2 linked regions of the Oreochromis niloticus genome follow. The protein of the gene in region 2 binds, or shares a complex with, the protein of the main gene of each other region. Links are inferred from orthologs where the notes say so. Each region holds a gene or a part of one and is shown on either strand. Other genes may lie near its edges.

Region 1 (11,412 bases), on a different chromosome or scaffold from region 2:
CATGCTCTACTCAGGCACCACCTCTCTTAAACATTACAAGCAACTCTCCACAACAAGGAGAGAGAGTTTAGGTTAAAGTTTTATAAACCTTGTGTGTATCGCTTTCTTCTCAGGGCGGCTCTAGACCGAGCAGCCGTGCTGCTGAAGATGAGTATGGGTGGGCTTCGCATAGATAGCCAGTGGGGGACAGGTGGAGGCCAGCAACCAGTCATACAGCTCATCAAAGAGGTAGGTTATGTAAAGCAGAATCCAGTACACTCTGAAATGAAAGCAGTTTTTCTGAATTGTAATTGGTTCTTATTATAAAGCTTTAATGAAACTGAAGCAGCACTGTACAGTCTTCAGCATCTATTGGAAGGGGGAGTTTGCAGAACTTCTTCCTCAAACGCAAACCGTGCTATGTTGATGAACCGGTCCTGCCTGGTCTCATTGTTTTCAAAATAGCAGTCATGTGTTCGAGAAACGTTAAGAGGTCTAAAAGGAAAGAACTGTTGAAGTAAAAGTATCAAAAACAAAACCCTTTTTAGAACTTTTGAGCAGTTGTGTGTAAAATATTTCGGTTTTCATCACTTTCAAGTGAAATTGGATAATGCTTCAAAATAACAGATCATACTTTCATGATGGTAGTAGACCTGCTTTTTTTTTTTTCTTTGTGCAGCTCTTTTTTTGCAGTATGGATATTGCCATAACAAAAATTCTCATTTGTATTCTGTCATGCCAGATGAACCTTCTTCTGAAGGAGTACATCCTATCTGGTGACAGCAAGGAGGCTGAGCGATGCCTCAGGGATCTTGAGGTTCCCCATTTCCATCACGAGTTTGTCTATGAGGTAAATTCATGGCTACGCTTGATGTAGTAGCAGACACGTTAAATGCAGTCTAAATGTAAAATGTTATAAAACTACTAAAACATTTTATCTGTTTGGAGGGGATTTCTTCAGCTTTACACCCTTACTGTTGTATTGTGTGGTCTTCAGTCAAACTGCTCCTGGTACTCCGAGTATTAACACAAGATTGCAAATTTTTCTATCTCTGTGTATCACAGGCGATAGTGATGGTGTTGGAGTCTAATGGAGAGAAAACTTTCAAAATGGTTCTGCAGCTACTCAAGTCACTCTCTGTGTCCTCCATCATTACTGTGGACCAAATGAGAAGGGTATGGTGCCACCTGGTGTCTGAATTATGCACTACTCTTTGTTTTTTTGGGGGGGGTTTTTTTGTAGTCAAAGGGTTTTCTTTTTCTTGTAGGGCTATCAAAGAGTTTACATGGACATCGCTGAAATTAACATCGATGTCCCTCGTGCATACTTTATCCTGGAGCAGTTTGTTGACAAGAGCTTCGGCATGGGAATCATTGATGTAAAGTTGAGGGATCTCTGTCCCTGTCGGTAAGCTCGCTGGTTTTCACACACATCTGACACTTGCCTCCAGAGATTCGCTTCTGTTTTTCTTAATCATGTTGTTGCTCTGATCTTCTCTCAGGGGCCGTAAGAGGTATGTCAGCGAGGGAGACGGTGGTGTTGTCAAACTTGAAAGCTACTGAGAAGACTTTCTGTGTGCCAGATTACCCCAAAAAACATAAAGCTACTTTTTTACTTGCATATTTTTCAAAGTACCTGAAAATGGTTTTTCTCCTTTCTAATGGTCAAAAGAAGGTACATTTCCAAAACTGAGGTGAGGGTAATTTAAAAAAAAAAATGCACTTGTGATTGAAACTAAAGTAGATCACTCTCTCCAAGGTGTTTCAATATAAACATTTACATAAGCTAGCTCTTAAAGTGCCACACCTCTCCGTGTCAGTCATTCCATATTGTTTTGTACAGTATTTTCTTGGTTTCACTGCCACTCCTTTTGTGTTTTCTAGAAAGCAGTGTTTGTATCGACATGACTGGTTTGTGTCAAGAGCTTTATAAAAATGTATTAAAAATAAAATAAAATAAAAGGGAGTTTGTTGGTTCAATGCAATACTGGCTTCCTAACTAGCTGCTGTTTCTATGCTGTGCTAGGTTTTCAGTCTTTAATCACACACATCCGTGGCATGAGTTCTGTGCAAAAATGAATACCGATCAGGTAACTTCACAAAGTGGTGTGTTAAAAGTGTTTATTTTTATATTTGGGGAATAAGGAGTGTGAGAGACACACCCTGATGCTCCTTGATTGTTGATTAAATCACTATGAAATCATTTCATCTGTTTTTGTCTGTTTAACACACAGTACTAACTGCATACTGCAACTTAAATAAGCAGTTATCGGAAAGATATAATCATAATAATATAACACTTTATAGTACATAAGTAGCTCACTACCCCTACTGGCAAGTAACAGATGTAATCTTTGCTAATTACATGTCGTAGATCATTCAATAATAACTACAGAACAGCAAGACTTTCAAAAGGGAGAAAGAGGGATTAAACACACTGTTTTTAAAACTCTGTAAAGCCAGATTCCCTCCAAGTCCATACAAATACATTCCAGTGCTTGGAATCAGTGCGTTTGCTTGATCCATCTGAAGGATTTTTTCCAGTTTAGGCATTTCTGTTTTTTCCAATCCTCCACTGGGTATCTACTGTAGTTGCTCCTTCATTGCCAGTTCCTGTTGTTTAACAGCCTCTTGAGCCTCCATTTGCATTTTCTCCAGTTTCTCAAGGGTGACTGATTTGAGTGGGAGCAGCTTTGGCTTACACAAAACCATAGTAGGGACATCTTCCATGGAGAGCTGTCCTGTGAGGTGGGGGGGATTAAAACAATCCACAAATGATTAAATCTTAATTAATTTAAGCATAAATGAAAATATAATGTAAAAACCTAGCATGTGTGGTATTTCTCACAAAAGTCTGCAGCACATTAGCTGTGAGAAATGTTCTCTTTACACTTTAACCTTTATAGTACTGCAAACAGAGCTACTGTTCTATTTAAAGGCGTTTCAAATATACGATGCTACATCTATAAACTTCTTACATCTTTTCAACCACTCCGGATGAATTCAACAATATTTTTGATATCTGGTCAACTAGTTACCAATCTGGCATCTTACACATCTGATTGTGAGCCACTGAACAGCTTGTTCTTACTAACAAGCAGTACACCTTTAACTAAAGAAATGCAATATTGTCCCAAATGTTGACCCCAATTATATTTTTAAGCCAGAAAAGACTTTCAGGAGAGACCACAGAGCGTATCTTGATTAAATCTCCAAGGTATTGTGAAATTTCAGTTCAGTTCACGTGTTGTCTTGAGAGCCACAAACAAACTTTTGTAACTACTGCTGTCCACATAGCTTTGGTACAAACCTTGTTTAGGAAGAACTTCTCTGAATATTGATTTGACCTCTGGCATGGTGTCCTCTGAGTGCTCGCTGAAAGGTAAGCATATTTGGACATTTCACTTTCTCAACTCAACTTTTTGACACATATTCATAAATTCCGAGTAGTTTTAGCATCATTAAATGCTCTCCGCTCGAGAGGGAATGCAAAATTCAAGGAGCCTGTTAGTTTTATAGTGGGCATTACATAGTTTATAATAAACTGATCAGCGGTTAGCCACAGGTCAGTACACAGTCGCAATAGCAGCAGCTACTCTGTGATGCATTTATAAAATCTGGCTATTGCAATATGCTACATTTTCACCTTTATTCAGTGTTGTGCTTCAGGGTACTTTGCACCTAATGAACAACGTCGGCCACTTTTATATAGAAACTTTTGTTCCTTGGCTTCAAAGGCATAAAGGTCTGAAAATGTACAAAAACAACACAATGCGTATGCTAGCTACACAAGCTCAGCTCCAGCTAAACTAACGATACCTTTGCTTTTAGCGAACGCACTCTAATCCAAAGACACTATGTCTCAACAATGCACAACAGTAGAAACAAATCAATACTATTCACCCACACGGGCATATGTAAAATGGAAATCTTTTTCTCACCTTCAGCACCAGGTAAAGATTACAGTTGTCAAGCCAACGCGTCCGCAAGAATCACGTGATTTTCTTCTGTTGTCTATTTAATTTGAACAGTGTTTTACTGGCACCTACAGGCAGCTAGCAGAATAGCAAAACTCAATAACTTTAATAATGTTTGACCCTATGAAGCAGGCATTATAGGGTCATTGAGCGTCTCACGCTTCACTTTTTTTGTACTTTTATTTTTGGACAGAACATGTGTGACAGTGTAGCTGCAAGGAGCAGAGGTAGTTGAGTTTAAGCATATTGGAGACAAAGTTAGAGAGACAAGACTGCTGCCAGACAGGAGGAAAGAAAAGAAGACCAAAAGGGGAAGACCAGAAGATTTGTTGATGTAGTGAGGGAGGACTTAATTGGTGTGACAGAAGATGATGCTAGGCATGATGATCCACTAGTGAACCATAAAGAGACCAGCCAGAAGAAGGAAAATAATTATTTGCACTTATTGCACTGATATAGGTTGGTAATGTCTCTGTATATGTAGAGAGATGGCTTCTGGTTGGCTTGCAAATAACTGAAAGTGTGTGTTGCGTACTCACATTTTTAAACAAAAAATATTAGATCTGTCGGGGGAAATTACTGCAGATGAAAAGCATTATTTCACCTTCAGAGTAATTTATATATGTTTCAGTGGGATATAAAAAATGAGTACCTTAAAATACAATTTTGAATGAATACTTGACAGCATTATTAGTTTGTAGTATAACCACTCTCAAGTACGGATGTCATGGTTGCAACAAATATATAGTCTGTGTCCGTGCATAATCGCTTTCTTCTTATTTCCACTGATATAATCTAATATTGTTATAGGGGTTTTTTTTATTGCCACAATGATCATGAAGTGAAAATATGATCTAGAATGATCTACTCTCACTTAGGATCTATGCGAAACTAAAAATATTTCTAGAGCTTAACAAGTTGTTTGTTATATAAAACACAAAAACTCAACACAAAAAATGTTTGGGATCTTTTATACACTGCTCAAAAAATATGAGGGGAACACTAAAACAACACAATGTAACTCCAACTCAGTCACACTTCAATGAAATCAAACTGTCCACTTAGGAAGCAACACTGATTGACAATCAATTTCTCATGCTGCTGTGCAAATGGAATAGACAACAGGTTGAAATTATAGGCAATTAGCAAGACATCCCCAATAAAGGAGTGGTTCTGCAGGTGGTGACCACAGACCACTTCCCAGTAGCTATGCTTTCTGGCTGATGTTTTGGTCACTTTTGAATGCTGATGCTGATGGTGATTTCACTCTAGTGGTAGCATGAGATGGAGTCTACAACCCACACAAGTTGCTCAGGTAGTGCAGCTCATCCAGGATGGCACATCAATGTGAGCTGTGGCAAGAAGGTTTGCTGTGTCTGTCAGCGTAGTGTCCAGAGCATGGAGGCTCTACCAGGAGACAGGCTAGTACATCAGGAGACGAGGAGAAAGCCATAGGAGGGTAAAAACCCAGCAGCAGGACCTCTGCCTTTGTGCAAGGAGGAAAAGGAGGAGCACCCTGCAAAATAACCTCCAGCAGGCCACAAATGTGCATGTGTCTGCTCAAACGGTCAGAAACAGACTCTATGAGGGTGGTACGAGGGTCTGACATCCACAGGTGGGGGTTGTGCTTACAGCCCAACACTGTGCAGGACGTTTGGCATTTGCCAGAGAAAACCAAGATTGGCATCTTCACCACTGGCGCCCTGTGCTCTTCACAGATGAAAGCAGGTTCACACTGAGCACATGTGACAGACGTGACAGAGTTTGGAGATGCCGTGGAGAACGCTCTGCTGCCTGCAACATCCTCTAGGATGACCATTTTGGCAGTGAGTCAGTAATGGTGTGGGTTGGCATTTCTTTTGGGGGTGGCGCACAGCCCTTCATGTGCTCGCCAGAGGTAGCCTGACTGCCATTTGGTACCGAGATGAGATCCTCAGACCCCTTATGAGACTATATGCTGGGGCAGTTGGCCCTGGGTTCCTCCTAATGCAAGACCATGCTAGACCTCATGTGGCTGGAGTGTGTCAGCAGTTCCTGCAAGATGAAGGCATTTACGCTATCGACTGGCATGCCCATCCCCCAGACCTGAATCCAATTGAGCACATTTGGGACATGATGTCTCATTCCATCCACCAATACCACGTTGCACCACAGACTGTCCAGCAGTTGGCAAATGCTTTAGTCCAGGTCTGGGAGGAGATCCCTTAGGAGACCATCCCCCATCTAATCAGGCGCATGCCCAGGCATTGTAGGGAGGTCATACAGGCAGGTGGAGTCCACACACACTGAGGCTCATTTTGACTTGTCATAAGGACATTACATCAAAGTTGGATCAGCCTGTAGTGTGTTTTTCCTCTTTAATTTTTGGTGTGACTCCAAGTCCAGACCTCCATGGGTTGCTCAACTTGATTTCCATTGATAATTTTTGTGTGATAATGTTGTCAGCACATTCAACTTTGTAAAGAAAAAAAGTATTTAATAGAAATATTCATTCATTCAGATCTGGGATGTCTTATTTTTGTGTTCCCTTTATTGTTTTTATTTTTTATTTTTTGAGCAGTATATTTCCACTGTCATCTGTAAATTGTATTCACTGTAAATTGAATGTGTAAAAATAACACACTGTATATAAAACATAGACATGACCACTGGTTTTTGTACTCCCCATTATGAAAGCTAGCATAAGTATTTTGTCTGCTGCCATGTTATTTTGTGGAGCCAGAAGTTATCATATAGAATGAAAGGGTGGCATTAACAGTCCCATCCATAACTGTGTGGCCTCTGCCCCCTCGCATCACCAGTAAGTTATTGCAGTAACAATCACACTCATGTTAATTATTTGGTTAATAGTAGCTCCGTAGTGGATCTACAGCAATTGCATTAGAAATGGTTTTGTAGGGCATGGGCTTATGCAATTCACAGTGTTTGGAGTAACCCCCATATGTCTAAATGAGACTAAAAAAAGAGGCCATTTTTTTTTAGCTTGCGCAACAAGGTTTAAAAGCATGATCTCAGTCAAAGGTTGCAAAACAAACTGAAATGCGCTGATATATTCTGGACTCACAAGTATCCTACTGTTTGGTGAGTTCATTAATCCTTTTCTGCATCTAGAGAGAGTCTCTCCTATATTGTGCACTATGCCATAAATGCAGATATTTTTGCACCTTTATAGCTTTATGACTATATTTCTCTGTGATCGTACCATGCTTGTATTGTTGATTATGCAGATGGGTTCATGATGTGGTTTAAATTAGGTTGCTGATGCTTGAATCTGTCTTGTATTTGTAAAGGTGGCCCAGTGTATAGGTTACAATTATAGAACTGCCTCTTGTAGTACTGTTTTAAATGTACATTGAACTCTTTTATTTATTCGTTTGATTTTATTTTGCATCTGTTTTGCAAGTCTAAACATTTTGCTGTGTGTATTTTAACATGGGATTGAATAACTTTTGGACCCAGCCCCAAGTGGCCACAAACCCCAAGTGGCTGCAGGGTTTTTTTTTTTTACACTTATGAGGGGGCGTTTTCGGCTCCAGGAGAGGGCGTTTTCAGGAGCTGAAAACTCAGAAAACTTTCATAAGTGTAAAAAAAAAGAGACGTAACATAAATTTAAAACAAAAATCCGCTCAGTTTTTTTAAGAACAGTCATCTGTGTTTAGTTGTTTTGAGAATGTATTTGCACACTTTTACAATTAATAAAAGTCAGAGACTTGTATGAGTTGGTTTTCTTTTTTAATTTTCTTTTCAATACATTATTTTAATGCTCCGGTTTGTAATCAATCATTATTATTATCTCAGATTGATTTTCACAGATAAATGTTTGTAAAATAATGGACGTTTGATTGCATTTCAAAGTCTCGTGATAACATTGGTTAGGCGTGTGAATGACGCAGTTTGGTGACCGGGGGAGGGAGGGGAGCAGAGCAGCAGTGTAGGAAAAGAGGAGGAAGCAGCAAGGATGGCGGAGTCACACCTCTGAAGGTAAAGCAGTTATTTTATTACATTAACAGTGGACGTTTTTATCCCCACAGCACGGTAACGCATTGCTCTAGAGCTAACGTACTTATCAACCTCTCGTTAAGGCGTGTGTAACGCCGATGTGTCATTTTGCGGTGGCGAGTACGAACGCACTCTTTTGTTCAGCTTCGGAATGGCCGCTGTTTTTCACTGTTTTCTTTTTTCTCGGCTCATATTCACAACGGGAACGGCGCTTAGATTCAGCGTTACAGGTTGTCGGCTCTTCGGTGTCCTTGCGTGGCTGCTCGGGTCGGGATATCAGCTGCCTTCACGCCTTCACAGGATGTTCTCTTTGGGTATCTGCTACCCGTATGCACTCAGCTGGCTACAGCAGAGATTTCCCCCCCTTCGGTCGGGTCGGTCTGCGTCCGACAGCCGCTCGGCTCGGGCCTGCGTTACACACACACACACACACACACACACACACATACACATACACACACATCTCTGCTAATGATTAAGCTAAGCGCTGGGTGTGAGTATTAGGGCAAATCTCGACACTCTCTCTGCACGGTCTAGCAAACACACACCAATGGTCCTTTATTGCATTATGTGCTAATGACAGCTGTTTTGATTTTCCTTGTTTGGAAAAAAAAGTACCGTTAGCTTGTAAGCTAAGTTGCTCGCTAGCTGACGGTAGCAATTTAGCAGTCTGGCATAACTGACGTTTGCCGTGCCGTTGACGCTCAGCTTAGCTGTTTTTATTTCCTGCCTTGTTGTCAGTCGTCTTAGCAGGCTGATGTTTCTCACAGTTTAAGAAAAGACTTTGCGACCTGTATTGTGTATTTTAGTTTCATGAGTGGCTTAGCTAACATAAGACATTTTAGCCTACTCGAGTTGGTTTACGACAAATAGTTGTCTTGCTTGTGGTGTTAGGTTAACAGTCACAACGTAGCATTATTAACGTCAAGGTGTTACATTCACATTACTGATAATACCCTGTCATACCCATATTAGGTGTTCATATCATGGAAATTGGATTATATTGAAATGCGACTTGACTTCTCGACCTGGTAGCTACCGTTTGTGTCGGTAGTCTGTTTCCAGGGGTTTGCCATTTGCACACGTAGCCACCAACCTAGTGGGGTCATGTGGAGTTCTGTTTAGTGGCAACAGCGATAGCTGCCACCTCACTCCTGTTGTGCAATTTTGCGTCCATCTATCATACGGAGATTCTATATTGACAGGCCTCAACTTACTGTGAAGTACCAGCAAGCAAATGACTGAGTATTTCTTGAATCTGACTATGAAGCATTTCTTTGCTTCGGACGTGCTTTATTGCATTCTCTAATTAGCTGATATATCGGCACATGTATCATCTGATCCTAAAGGGATTATAATGGACAAACAAGGGAGAACAGTTCCACTCATGCCCAAATGTACTGACATTAGCAGATGGGCCCAAGATATCCTTAATGGATAACTTCATTAGTCCATGTGGGAAGTTCAAATAGCACTTTATGGTGGTGTTGTGGTTGTGTTGATGGACAAATGCATTAGCTTTTTCTGCAAAACCGTGCTTGAGTTCAGCCTCATATTTACATTGGCTAAACAAGTAGTTTCAGCTTACACACATTCACACATGAGCATATCAGTCAGTTGTGAAGGGTGATATAAAGGCTCATCCATAATTTACCATCCTGATCAGACAGGTTTGGCTGAGTAGTTGCATAATTTCACATAAAGTTATGACTGTCCTTTGTTGACTAATTAGGTTTTCCAGTCATATGTATCCAGTTAAAATTGTCTTTCTTTTGTGGATTTTGTAGGGTTTAGCTAAGTAGTTGAATGATTGCTTAGGTGGGGTTGTAGGCTTACTGCAATGTTAACACCCACTGGGCCATGTTTGCGTAGCAGGAGCAAGTTGGTTTGCGTTTATCCTTAGTACACTAGACTTTCTTGGTCTGACTAAGCACACCCAGTACCACAGCATTAACAGTATCCTAGTTCTGACAACTGACCAAACCTTTTCCGTATGTGTGTGCTGTCTTTAGGTTGAACAGTCCCCCAAAAATTATGTTGTCATTGTACATGTTTTATGGCTTTTTCTTAGACCTCAGTATGTGTAGCGCATGTTTAGACTGAGGTGTAAAATAATAACGATAATCTTGGTGTGTACTATAGCCTCGGGGTTTACAGATGAGCCAAGTAAGGTTTCACTATGAGGATTAAGCCTGGGATATAGAACCTTTTGGTTACACGTAACTCAGACCACATAACATATTAATTGCTGACCTGGTTATGATTTGTCTGTTTTCAGTGTCTGCTAACTGAATATGAATGCACTTTTTTCCTGTTTTTTAAGAACAAATGAACCCTCATCCAAGTCTTTTTAGAAAGAGATTGGCTGCTGTAATGTGTTTTATATTAACACAAAGGTACCATAGCGAGCCATGGGGTAGCAGATGCCAAAAAAGCTAGCTAGCTTATTGCTAACTGCTGACCGGGAAATTATGCCTCAGCAGGAAATCTACTCTGTAGCTACATCATAACCACAAACCCTTCTGAAACTCTACACCATAACCTGACGTGTAGCTTCCTAGAAATGTAACTACACTTTGTGTCGACGCAGCAATATCTCTTGTGCATTTCTGGCTACTTTTTCACTGCAGATTTTATATTTAGCATTGAGAGAATAACAATCATTGTTTCAGTAATAACAAATAATAACCATAACATCAATATAAGGAGTCACAGATGTCAGCAAATTGCTGGATGTAGACTACTGAAACTATAAGAACTGATGTGAGGGAATGTTCAAAGTGCAAAACTAGAGTGATGCACATAGAGAAGAAAAGGTACACTGATCATTCTACATGGTGTCTGAGTTTCTTTACTTTTAGGAGCACTTTGGGGAAACTGTTGTTGTGACTTGGGGAGAGGCACTATATAAATAAAATTGTGTTGACTTGGATTAGATAGGACATTAAATTACATGCTAAACCAGCTGAAAACCTACTCTAATATTAGTTTCCAGTGGTGTATTTTAATGTATGTAATATTTATTGTAATAAGCCTTAATAATATCTATATAAGTTCTTCTGAGAGATGAGTTTAAAATGTTATTTGTTGAGAAAGTTTATGTTGAGAAAAAGTTTTCAAGTAGTAGCAGTTTTCTGTAGATATCAATGCTCTTTTTTCATTCAATAAGATGACCTTATTTTATAAGTTATTTTTCTTTTTGGTGCGAAATGATTTTTTTCAGGCATATCAACGCTGCCATAAATGTTATCTTAAGGTGGAGTCAGTTTGCCATCAGTTTGATTCAAATGGTTCAAGTTGGCAATTGCATGCAATCTGTTTATGATAACACAATAATTATCTGTGATAAATGGTCAAAAATCAAATATCTATTGCTATCATATATTTGTATAATTTATCAGAAATTCATATTAAACTACATTTGCACCCAGCAACTTTCCTAATAAAAAGGAGTATA
Region 2 (12,126 bases):
GGAGCGGAAGGAACAGGAGCTAGAGAACAGGAGGGCAGGCAGCGCATCGAACCCCGGAGGTAAGTGGCTGCAGGTATTTGATGTAGTTGTGTTGAGTATGTGTTAAGTCTTAAATGATAATAAGGTTTTTAAATCTTTTCCTGTCAGCTAAAGAGAACAATTGGCCACCTCTTCCAAGGTTCTTCCCTGTAAAGCCCTGCTTTTATCAGAATTTTGAGGAGGAAATCCCAGAGGACTACCGCAGGATGTGCAAGAGAATGTACTACCTCTGGATGTGTATGTACCCCTGCCCTGATTGTAGTATTTTATATGCTAATCACTGACCTAAAAGGATGGTATAGTACATCAAATCTCAGCTTTTAAATTTAAAGATGTATCAAGACTTTCCACTGATCATACTTTTGATGAAGTTCATACTTTTTTCTTTACAAATGAATCATGATTTATAACTTTATCCATTACAAGATACTAGATTGTTTAAAGTCATAATTGCTGCACTAATATGTTAAGAAATACTTTATTTACCCCACATTTGGGAAAGTAATTTGTTACGAAGGAGATAATAATAACCATAATAAAGACACCATTCATGCCTATTAGTTTAAAAGTGCACAGAGGATGGTTCACCAGAACTTTTTATAAGCAGTGTTGTATTATAAGTGTATGTCTGCGTCACTGGTTTTCTTTTGCACCTCTCCAGTCCACAGTGCCACTCTCTTCCTCAACGTGCTGGCCTGCCTGGCTTGCTTCACCGTAGACAATAGCTATGGTGTTGACTTTGGTCTGGCTCTTCTTTGGTTCATTCTCTTCACCCCCGTGGCCTTCGTCTGTTGGTACAGGCCGGTCTACAAGGCCTTTAGGTATGCTGTGTCACTGGTATTGTTTACACTTATGAACTTTAATTCAAGTCTTCAAACTGTAAATGATCTCCAGACTCATTTTTATGACTTCATGCAATTGTGAAACTTAATATCTCTATTATGCAATATGTCAGCAAACCAGTGAGCACCTTCGCATTAATAATGTCCCCTTTTCCTTTTTTTCTCCTCTATAGGTCTGACAGCTCTTTCAGCTTCTTTTTCTTCTTTTTTGTCTTCTTCTTCCAAGTGGCAGTTTACATTATCCAGACTGTGGGGATTCCCCATTGGGGCAACAGGTCAGTGGGATTTATTTATTTATTTATTTTTTCCTACACTACCTGAAAGTGTGGTGGAAGTGCACCAAGATTCTGTTTTTCATCAGTATGAATGTGCATGCTGCTTTGGGATACATTCAGTGTGCATGGACCACCACATTTCTTCATTCACACATGTGTTTGTGTGTGAATTCTTCTCCTGTCTCTCCTCTATTGCATTTCTTTGACAGATTCCTGCTGCCCTAATAAATCTGGGTTGCTGCTTTGTAAGTGTGTGTAACTTTTATTTTGGGATTTCTTTTCTATCATATATAAAGCTCCTCAGGTTTCCATGTGTCATTTTTACAAACTTCATGCTTTACATTTGGTATCTGGTTGTTTGTGTATTTCTCTTTAATCCACAAAAAAAAAACTTTCAGTATAATATAATATACTGTATATAATAATTATAGAGAAAATGTGCAATTACACCTTTTTTCCTCTTGCATGTTTCTGGTTTTGACAGTGGATGGATAACATCAATCACCATGATCAGCAAGAAAAACCTGGCTGTGGCTGTGGTTATGATGGTAGTGGCTGGATTTTTCACTGTAAACTCTGTGCTGGCTATCATCCTGCTGAAAATGGTACGCAAAAGTAAAACCTCTGTTTACATATATTACTTTTAGAGGTAATCTCATTACTTTATTATGAACCTGTCAGGTTTAATATAATGTATCTTGATGAACTGAATAACCCTAAGCAAAGTATTTTAAACATGTTTTAGTTGTTGAGTTTTCTCATTTATATCTGGAAGCTACGTCAAAGACAAACTAAAAATCGCGGGGTGACAAAATGGCTTCAGAGGAAATATTCAAACCAAGTGTGTGTGCTGAATGCACTTACTCTACAGACTTTCCTCCATGTAGAAGTTCCTGGAGTGTCTTTTGGTTTATAAAGACGATAATTCATTAGAAAGTGGACATAATATTTCATCTTAATGCAAAAAGTGGGGGACAAACAAATACAACTCTTAAAACAATAATCTGTTCCTTGGCTCATAACTCTCCACTAGACATGTATTGTATTTTCAGATATCCTCCTCACTAACAGATGAATGAAACTGAACTCATGATCTCCTTTGTAGACATAAGAACCATGGCCTGAACCTTACAAGAACCAGCAGGTTAAACACGGTTTCATCATTTGATCGCCTGTCATTGTTTACAATTTTCTGTCTTTTCCTATCATCCCAGGTCCATTCTAAATACAGAAACACAGGTGCCAGCTTCACCAAGGCCCAGCAGGAGTTTTCACAAGGTGTCCTGACCAACCGAACTGTCCAAAATGCTGCAACCACCGCTGCTACCTCCGCTGCCCAGGGAGCCTTTGGCAGGAGCCAGGAAAATTAGTGATTTCTACAAGTTTTGTGTCTCTGGCTATTCTCTTTTCTGACCAGCATACCGGGCTAGCCACGTCCCAACATTATCCAGTTGGTGTAAAGGAATTTTTAGGGAAAAGGGCAAAAAGCAAGTAACTTATGAGTATATACCAAGTGGGGTGTCTCCATTCTCCATGTCCACCAAAAAACTAAATAATAAAAAAAAATGGTGTAATTTAGGTAGATGCGTAGCTAAAGACATAAAATCATCTTATAGGAATAGGACCCTACTTTCAGTTAAACTTTATTTGTATAGCATCTTTGATGAAGGACAGTGCAATTCAAAGAGCTTCACAGATGAACTGATAATGGGACGGCACATTAATTTAAAAAAAAAAAAGGTAAAAAGATTATAAAATGCAAAAATAAAATGGATGGAACTTGTAAAGACCTGCACAGATCTCATCAGCATATGTCATATTCATTTATGCTTTAGGGAAATGTCCAGTAGGAAATCTGAAGCTGGGGTTTAGATAGAGGGCAAGGTGAGGACCCCACACAAATAAAATTACAACATTTCATCACTGCATAGCTATTGAAAGCATTTAACAGAGTAGACTAAAGAGATACATGTGAGATTATCTGCAATACAAGAAACACTGATTTAAATCCAGTAATCCTTAAAGATCCCAGTAAAAAGTATCAGGATTTTTCCCTGCTAATGTAGGAATGACATACTGAGGCTTGAAATATAAACTCTTTGTCCAAGTTTGGATTCTCACTTGACATGAGAATGTTTTTTTCCATCTGTGAGCGATGGATCCACTAAATGTTTTTCGCATTACAGCAGCATGCAAAACCTTGCAGGATAACTGTCCTGACTATAAGTGCATTAATACCAATAATACACTTTATGCACAGTTGCCTTCCTCTCAGATGTCCTGTAAAAGTATAAATGATAATAAATGCATACTGTTACATTACTGTGCAGTTTGAACTTTGCTCTCCAAATTTGATGTTTTGATGTGTATATGACAATAGGATGAGCTGCTGATTAATGAAGGTGATGGGATAAAGAGGTCATTTGTACTGTTTTAATCTGTTTACTGATTTTTTTTTTTTTTAATGAAGTGAGGCTTAAAGCTGTTCTTGAAGCAAATGAAGATGTTACATTTTAATTCATGTTAAGAAAACTTGGCATAATACAGAGACTTGCAGTGATTAAAATAAAAGGGGGGGTACGGGTTTATTCATGTAAAGTTATTGAAAGTATAGAATTTGAATGTATTTACATGAAAAGTGCATTAATGAGTAGAAAGAACAATATTTTTGACTTTGTGCCCATGTTAGTTTTACTACATGTTAACTTAATTTCCTGTTTTTTCTAGCTGCACCTACTTGGAATTAGGTTTTAGTGTTTTCATCCCTTTCTCTGTGTGTGTGTGACTGTGTGTGTGTGTGTGTGTGTGTGTGTAAAGTATATAAATACTGTATACTCCTGATCTGATGTTTGTACCTCAGTGCCTTTAAACAGTAACATACAAATCTTTGTGTGAGGATTCAAGTTCAAGGCTGTTAATTCTCTTTTTTTTATCTGTAGCCTGTGGAACAACTGGTGAAGTTTTCTTGTGATCAGAATGTGTTAAGATTATGTAAATATCGGTGACTTATTTAAACATATTTACTGCTGGGGTATGCATTGGAAATCTTAACATTCAATAAACTGTACTGTCTATAAAATTCTGAATTGAAGTCTTGGAAGTGGTCTTGTTAGAAGCGTATTATTATCTATCAAAAGTGGTCCAAGGAAGGAACAGTGGTGAACCAGCGACAGGGTTATGGGCTGTCCTGTGTGGTCCGATCCAACAGGCGAGCTACTATAGCTCAAATTGCCCAAAATATTTAAACGTGGTTCTCATAGAAAGGTGTGAGAATGTCAGTGTCCATGCTGACCCCCTTCCTCTGCTGAACTTCAGCCCAACTTACAGGATTTAAAGAGTCTGTTACTAACATCAACTGATCTTTTATTACAGCACATCTTCATGGGTCTAGTGGGATCCATGCCTCGACAGAAAAAGGGGTGACCAACATAATAATAGGTAGCTGGTCATAACAGCATGCCTAATCAGTGTACATTCTGCCTAATAGACAATGTCATTCTGGCTCATTCACACAAGTTTTAACACATCGCCACAATCTTCCCAGGAGTGGATGTCAGCAAATTTATTTTATTGCAGTGTTTACACACAAGAACTACATTTCAACGTTAAAGTTTATTACAGTACATTTATTAAACAAATATGACTTGCTTTAAGGGTTGCCAGGAGGAATTCTTGGTCTTGAAGAAGAACATGGCAGCACAGCTCTTAGGAGAGATCAGCACAAAACACCTTATACTAAGGAAGGGTGATGATTTGGCCTTGTTTTGCAGCTATGGGATCTGGGCACCTTGCAGTCACTAAGTTAGCCATGAACTCCTCTGTATACCAAAAGAGTCTATAAAAGTGATGATACACAACAGGACACAGATCCCAAGCACAGCATCAATTCTATGAAAAGAAAAGATTGCAATGGCCCGGTCAAAGTCCAGACCTCAACCTGACTGAAATGCTGTGCATAAACACATATCTGCAAACCTCAATGAGCTAAAGAAATGCTGTAAAGAAGAGTGGGCCAAAATTCCTCTGCAATGATTTGAAAGACTGATAAAGTCATACAGAAAATTATTAGTTTAAGTTCTTGCTGCTAAGGGTGATTTTACAAGCTACTGAATCATGTGGTGTACTTATTTATTAAGACTACATAGAATCCTATAGAGTGAAAAAGGTGAAAGATTGCAAATTCGAAACATGAAAAAGCCACAATTCTGGTGTTTGTGTGCCCTGTTTGCATTACTAGATGTATTTTGTTTATAAGCAAAGGAAAAATCTAAAACACACAGAAATATATGGTCGGATTCTGTATACTACACTGACCGTCTTTACTGAGAGACACACATAACCATGGACCTATGATCTCTTGTCACATCCACTGGCAGACCCAACATCTATATATGACCACGTGACTGTTAGAGTTTGCCGACAGTGACGCAGACTGAGAGTAAAGTCAGTCTTAATGGACATCTACCCTGTTAAAGGTGTTGGGAGAAAAATAAAATAAAATAAATAAATAACCTGAACTATAGCTGTGTTTTTGTTTGCGAATGAAACCGAAAATCAGCATTTCATTTTTTTTCTTGAATGATTAATTTTGTGTAGCTAAGCTAAAGTCAATAAGTAGAGGAAGGGGTTGGCTAATGCATTTAATGTGACGTGGCTTTATCAGTAAAAATGGTTCTTAAACCCTTTTTTTGTAAATAAAGTTTTTTTCTTTAATCGGTCCCAGAGCACAAATCCAACCAGCTACGTGTCTGCGCGCCATTGACGTATCCATGGCAACAGCTTCTAGTGTTGATCATCCCAAGATGGCGGACGCGGAAACAACCGCAACGGTGAGTGCGATGCGAGCTGCTCCTCCTTTTCTTGAATAAACACAAACTTGACTCGAAATACAATGAAAGTGTGACACTTCGCGAGAAAGCCCGACTCCAGGTTTTGCCACACGCTTTCTATAACGCTGACTTGAACGTTAGTTAGCTAGGTGGCTAGCCTATTCTAAGTCGGCGCTAAGTTGATTAAGCTGCAGCTAAAGGCAACTTGCGAGACTAATCTCACTCACTCAAGGGCAAATTTAAACCTTAACACTGACAGCTGTAGCTGTGGCAGGGTTGCTGTGGACTGTTTGGGAAGCTTTAGCCCACCCTTAATATACGATAACGTAGAAAACGTTATCAAGCAGCTTTTCATTAACCGGCTTACCACCAATCGCAGTTCTATTATCGCTGTGGCACAATAGCTTTCAGCGTGTAATGAAATGTAGAGAATATCAATAAACTGCTAAGCATCAGCAACCACATCCAAAACAATCCACAAGTGAGGTCAAATATGGGAAGAAAAATATGTGATGCGAGAAGAACTGCGCATGCGTGCATCTACCTGTACATTTCGAAGATAGCAAATGTTACTGTTGTTGCAGTCACTGAACAGAGCATACACAGGAGCACGTTACATTGCAAAAGTTTACCGCTACATCTCAAAAATTTGAATTAAATGTATTCATTTAATATATCTGTCCATTCATCCTTTCATTTAATGGTTATTCGGGATGTGGTGGCAGCAGTCTGGCAGAGACCCCCAAACAGCCCTCTCCCAAGTCACCTCCTCCAGCTGTTCTGGAGGAACACTGAAAAGAGAGAGCAGTCGAGAGACATAATCTCTCCAGTATGTTTTGGTTATGCCTAGAAATTCTGTCCATAGAAGTTATAAACTGAATTGGTGACAAATAGGCAGCTCTTTGTCACCAAGTCTATCCAACCCTACACATTATATATACATTTTTTTATGGTGTATGGAGGGAGGAAGATGACATGTGAGCTTGTGCAGAGCAGTTCAATTCATTCTTTATCTAGCAAAGGCATATACAATTAGAATCAGCTGTAGTCCTGGAGTAGGACATGCAGTACACCATAGACTGGCAGTAGATCTGCATGCTTCTACTCTTTGATTGGGAAATAGTTTTTTTTCCTCTCTCTGTTCATTAGGTCAACACACATGTCATTCAGCTTGTTGGCCCACATTTCCACACAGCCTTTTATCAGTTTTTGAGTGGACAGGATTTTCTGTATTTTGGTGAGGGCTGCCCAAGGATTATTTTACTGTGTACCACACAGTCATGTGAAAAGTCATGTGTTTTTGCAGGACTCTGTGCAGTGCTCTGAGAAACCAAGTACACCCCATGATTCAATAGCCTGTAGAGGTACCATGTAAAAGCAATAACTTGTAATAATTATTAGTAATACTTGTTTGCATGACTTTATCTTCACAAAGTTGCTTCACTTCATTAAGGTTTGTGAGCATTTGTTTATGCACAGTTCTCTTAAGGTCCTGGCAGAGCATTTCAGTCAGGTTTTGGTGTGGACTTTAACTGGACAATTGCAACACCTTGATTGTTTTCTTTTTCAGCCATTCTCTTGCACTTTAGTATGCAGGAGAGTTCGTGATCGACTCAATAACATGGTGCTCAGGCCCTGTGGCTACAAAACACACCCATGGTATTGGTATGAGGTGTTTGTGCTGATATGCTGTGTTGATCTTTACCATACACAGCGCTGTGCATCATGACCAAAGATCTGTACTTTGATCTCATCTGTCCAGTGGACATTTTTCAGAACTTTTGGAGTTTGGTTCAAACCTAAGCTGTGATGCCAGGCTTTCTCCTGGCAATCCTACCAGAAAAGCCATAATTGTTTTTTCTAATTGTGCTGTCATGAACTTTAAATTGTAACATGCAAACTGAGGCCTTTAGAGTCTGAGATGTAGTGCTTGGATTTTTTTTCTGCATTTTCTCTGAGCAGTAAGCATCTGACCTTGGGGTGATTTTGAAGGGACGCCCACTTCTGGGAAGGTTGTTGCATTGTGTTAAAACACACCTGTTTGCTCCAAACCAGCAAACTAAAAGAAAACATCATCTTTGATAGAGGTGCTCACACTTGCCGATGATCAGTTAATTAAGTGCATCTGATTGGCTGGCTGCTACTGACCTTCTTAATTCATATAGAAGAAGTAAGGATCGATGTAGCTTTTCACAGGTCTGCATAGAGTCCTGAGAGTCCTGAGGAAGCTTTTCTTTTTCACTTGACTTTCAGACTCCTGTTTGCTGTTATTTATTTTTCTGCTTGTGTTGTTTGTCACATATTTCAGCTCCCTGTTGCTACTGAACCCAAGAAACGTCGGGCGCCTAAAGGTACAGTGAAAGTACTGCAGGTCATGTTCTGAAATTAATTGAATTATTTTCATGTCGTTGTGTGACATTCATTTTTTTAAAATTCATTTCTAAAAGTTGGTTAAGTGTTGATAACTGAAACTAAAGGTTTTGGAAGTGAACGGCCTGCAGAGGTCACCCTCACCCTTCTGTTTGTTTCCGCTGTAAGGAACAGGCTGTGGCTACATTATGCTGCTGAGCCATTTTCCAGATATTTCTCTGTGTAGAAAATGTCTGGTGATCATTAGAGGATGTTTTGTCATCATTATTGAAGCCTAATGTGCCATTAAATAGTTTATACTTCTGCCCACAGATATTTTGTCTTTTTTTCTTTTATAGTGCTTTGTAATAATAATAATAATCAGAGCTACTGAGAATTGCATCTCTGTGGAAGCAGTTGAATACATGCTATGATGTGGTAATGATAATTTTTATTTAGCATGCAAACCCTTTCCTGGGTTGTACTTAATATGATTCGAAGACACACCCCTGTTCTAACTAAGTTAAAAAAAACAGAAAGTAAAGATTGGATTTTAGGAGACGAATACACATACACCAATGGGAGCAGACTTGAAAACAACCTGAACGCAGAGGAACTTTAAAATTGAGATGCAATGTTTTAAAGCCGCTGCTGAGTTAAAAATAAAGTGGCAGCTGGGTGCATGAACTTCACAGATTCATCTACAGGGAATTGTGACTTCATTATGCCTCATACAGACTGTATACGCAAAAATAGTTCTATAAAAAGTTCTCCAAATGCAAAGTGTGTTAAAGTATATATCAGCCGATTTTTGGCACTTCATCACTGAAACTTGGGATCACGACTGGAATAAAACAGTCACATGCAAGGACTGATCCCTTTTGCAATGTAGACATTTAAAGATTTGACATAATCAAGCAACGAGACATAAACCTTAATTGTGTCCATAAATCACAGTCATTCTGCAGTTACCATCGTGAAATGTAATTATGGTTATTTAAGGCATACACAAATTTACCTTTGCTATGCAGAGTAGTATGCAGAGTATATTATGTTAGATTTTGAGGACGGCAGTTTGTGCATTCTTAGTGTTAATACCTGACAGGTGTTGTGCAATGGAAAGATCTAAAGTAAATTTTAAAAAAAATAGTACAGTATGTTAGATTTTAATAAAATCCAGTGTGAATTTCTTGACTCTAATGTAGCAGTCTGCCTTATTTTTTTCAGGATACTGACAGTCATTTCTGGCACATTCCTGATAAAGGAAAAAAAAAAGTGTCAGCATCTTGATGTGAGACTAAATGACTTGACAAGATGAAGGCTTTTTTTGGAGGGTTTTTTTGTGTGTGTGGTTGAACTTCCAAAAATAATATTCATCATATTTTTCATTACGTTCTCCCCATGTGTCTTTTGATCTCAGCATGCCTCTCCTCTGCTCTTATCCCCTTTTAACAGATGGTTGAAACACATTGAGGGCAAAGCTGCCTTAGCTTCATCCAGATCAAATATAACAATGAGAAAACTCTCTCTTTGCAATGAAGTTTTTCACATTACTATATTTAGGAGACCTCGTGCTGGGCTGTTCTTCTGTGCTTCTTTCTATCCTTCTCTCATACAGTAGTTGTAGGAATACACGTTACCCATGTATCCCATCACTCCTCTCCAAATTCTGCCTTGCTTTATGTATGTGGACCATAGAGCACCGCAGGACCACAGCTGAAACCCAGAGACAAGAATATTATTGCTGTCTCAGCAGGAAGAAAGCGGATTAGGGTCCCTACAAATAGGGCCATTCCCAGTCTTGACGTGGCAAACGTGTGGAGCCCGTGCCGTTTCACAGTCGGCGATGGAGTGGATTTCCGTGAAGTATCTGGAATGGGCTCAAGTTCTAGCAGCAGATCGGCAAAGCTCTTCTTGAGGCGATGAAAGATAAAAACAGAGGGGAGCTTTGGTGTAATTCACACTGTATATTTTTTTTTTTAACACTCAGAGTTCGTTAACGATACTCACCCCCCCACCAGTGTCAATGGTAAAGCCTAGCACTGTATTTCACAATGCCTTCAATCCTATTTTTAGCCTCAGAGGAAGGTAGTAGGTGCAAGATAACGGGATTACCAGAATCAGACTCGCTTGAATTGGAATTATGTGTGTTTCCTTGTAAAATGAAATGTTGTACTCCACTGGGAAGAGGACTTGGAGGCGTTGTGGTTCGGTTCTCGAGGTTACCTAACCCTTTCTAAAGCTGGCTTTACATTGTTCTGCTCATTCCTTCAGCCTCCCTCTATGACTCTGTCTCTATACCCTCGCTCTTCTGTCACAAGCACCTGGCTTGCGAGAGACATTGTTGCCCTGGCAACAGGGAGAATATCTCAACCTGTCGAGACATTAAATGAGAGACACGGGGGAGAGGAGGGGAAAAAAAGCACAGTTTGTAACGCAAAACTTGCTTACAAGGTGACATTTACAGAGTGGCTGGTGAATTGATTACAGTTTAGCCTGGGGTTTCTGGTTGAAGTGTTAACATCTATGTTAACTGTCACATCAAAGACTTGCTAGCAACTGCATGGGGAGGCTGCTTTCAGGATTATTTATTCAGCTGTCAAATTAGAAAAGATGGCATACATTAAAAATAGTTCTAATAGACATTACTCTTAATAGGCTGAGCCATCTGTTCATAAGAAAAAGAAAAAAAAACTGCTAACGAGCTAAGATTTGCGGCATGCCTACTCGGTGACTTGACTTAAATTTAGCCTGTGGATTTAGGTTGCAGTGTTACATCTGTGTTAACTGTCAGATCAGAGACTTACTAATGACTGCAAAAGGAGGGCTCTTTAAGGATTAATCACTGAGCTATCAGCCAAATAAGACATCATCTGCACAATAACATGCTCAAAAGTTCTTGTTTTTTTCCCCAAAATCCTTATTCATTTGTAATATTTAGATTTTTATGCTGTTCCTCCACCCAGCCCCAGAGCTTCCTATTGTGGAGAGAAGGAACTGGTTAATCCATCAGCACTATATCCTCAAGGACTACGATACCTGTAAGGTAAAGTGCCTTCATTCCTCAGTTCTGTTTGCGGCATAGTCTGTCATTGACCTGTGACTGTGCTCAGTGTCAGCGTGATTGACTGAAAGACCCACTCTGACCTCAGTGAAGATAAACATGATGAAGATATTGAGTTCCCAACACGCACGCGGCTTTGTCTAAGACCCGATTAATTCGCTGCGTGCAGAGCTGTTCATTGAAACTGCTTCGCACTTAATAAAGTCTCTGAATAGTACTTGTTAGATATATTACTGGACTACTCCTGCACGCGTTCTCTTTGCATATCTAATTTGTGTAAGGCGATAATGACATACATTCCTTCCGCTTAGTCTGTTAATATCTACAGATGTACAGAACAGAGTGTAATATTCCTCTATATCATCTGAGTACTGGATGGATTTCGAAATTGTCTTTCCACTGCGCCTTTTTAGGTTATCATCAAAGACCAACTGCAGGAGACTAATGGGATGTGTGAATATGCCATATATGTTCAAGGTGAGCCATCATTTTTGTAGCAGCCATTCCCCTTTTCCGCTTTTAATGTGTAAGATATTTTTTTAACAGCTACATCAAGTAAAACCTCTGTGGTAGTCAACACCAGAGCTGCACAAGTACATGATTTAGTTTCCCCAAAAACTGCTCTTTGGACCTCATGCTGTGCCTTTGATTTTTTTTAAATGCGTTTTTTTTTAATTCCTCAAGCAGATGAAGATCCTTTTATTTTGTGTGTGTGTCTTTATTTCTTT

Evidence for each region.
Region 1: the proteins of bbs4 (region 2) and bbip1 are in contact, whole or in part, in a cryo-EM structure (PDB 6VBV), measured with the Bos taurus proteins. The link is inferred for Oreochromis niloticus from reciprocal best matches to the Homo sapiens genes BBS4 and BBIP1. Residues at the interface, in NP_001069424.1 of Bos taurus: Leu210, Leu213, Tyr236, Leu240, Ala241, Ser244, Gln247, Thr248, Ser269, Pro271, Asn274, Asn275, Met278, Phe281, Gly282, Lys284, Tyr298, Leu299, Pro301, Leu302, Asp303, Trp304, Lys305, Ile306, Tyr308, Asn309, Leu312, Leu315, Thr316, Gln318; in XP_003587939.1 of Bos taurus: Met7, Phe8, Arg9, Glu10, Val11, Leu12, Pro13, Lys14, Gln15, Gly16, Gln17, Leu18, Tyr19, Val20, Glu21, Asp22, Leu28, Lys30, Pro31.

The regions. Positions count from the first base shown.
Region 1 is NC_031971.2:30,056,817-30,068,228, reverse strand, and holds bbip1 (BBSome-interacting protein 1), read right to left. Parts: upstream 4,016-11,412; 5' UTR 3,921-4,015; intron 3,355-3,920; 5' UTR 3,336-3,354; coding exon 3,290-3,335; intron 2,721-3,289; coding exon 2,563-2,720; 3' UTR 2,299-2,562; downstream 1-2,298. Other genes in the region: pdcd4b (programmed cell death protein 4b), read left to right, coding at 114-228, 722-829, 1,045-1,155, 1,248-1,387, 1,482-1,542.
Region 2 is NC_031965.2:11,056,802-11,068,927, reverse strand, and holds the start of bbs4 (BBSome complex member BBS4), read left to right. Parts: upstream 1-5,870; 5' UTR 5,871-5,925; coding exon of another isoform or gene 5,926-5,985; intron 5,986-8,293; coding exon of another isoform or gene 8,294-8,336; intron 8,337-10,090; 5' UTR 10,091-10,617; coding exon 10,618-10,788; intron 10,789-11,275; coding exon 11,276-11,380; intron 11,381-11,811; coding exon 11,812-11,875; intron 11,876-12,126. Other genes in the region: scamp2l (secretory carrier membrane protein 2, like), read left to right, coding at 1-59, 148-276, 701-860, 1,055-1,156, 1,641-1,761, 2,371-2,526.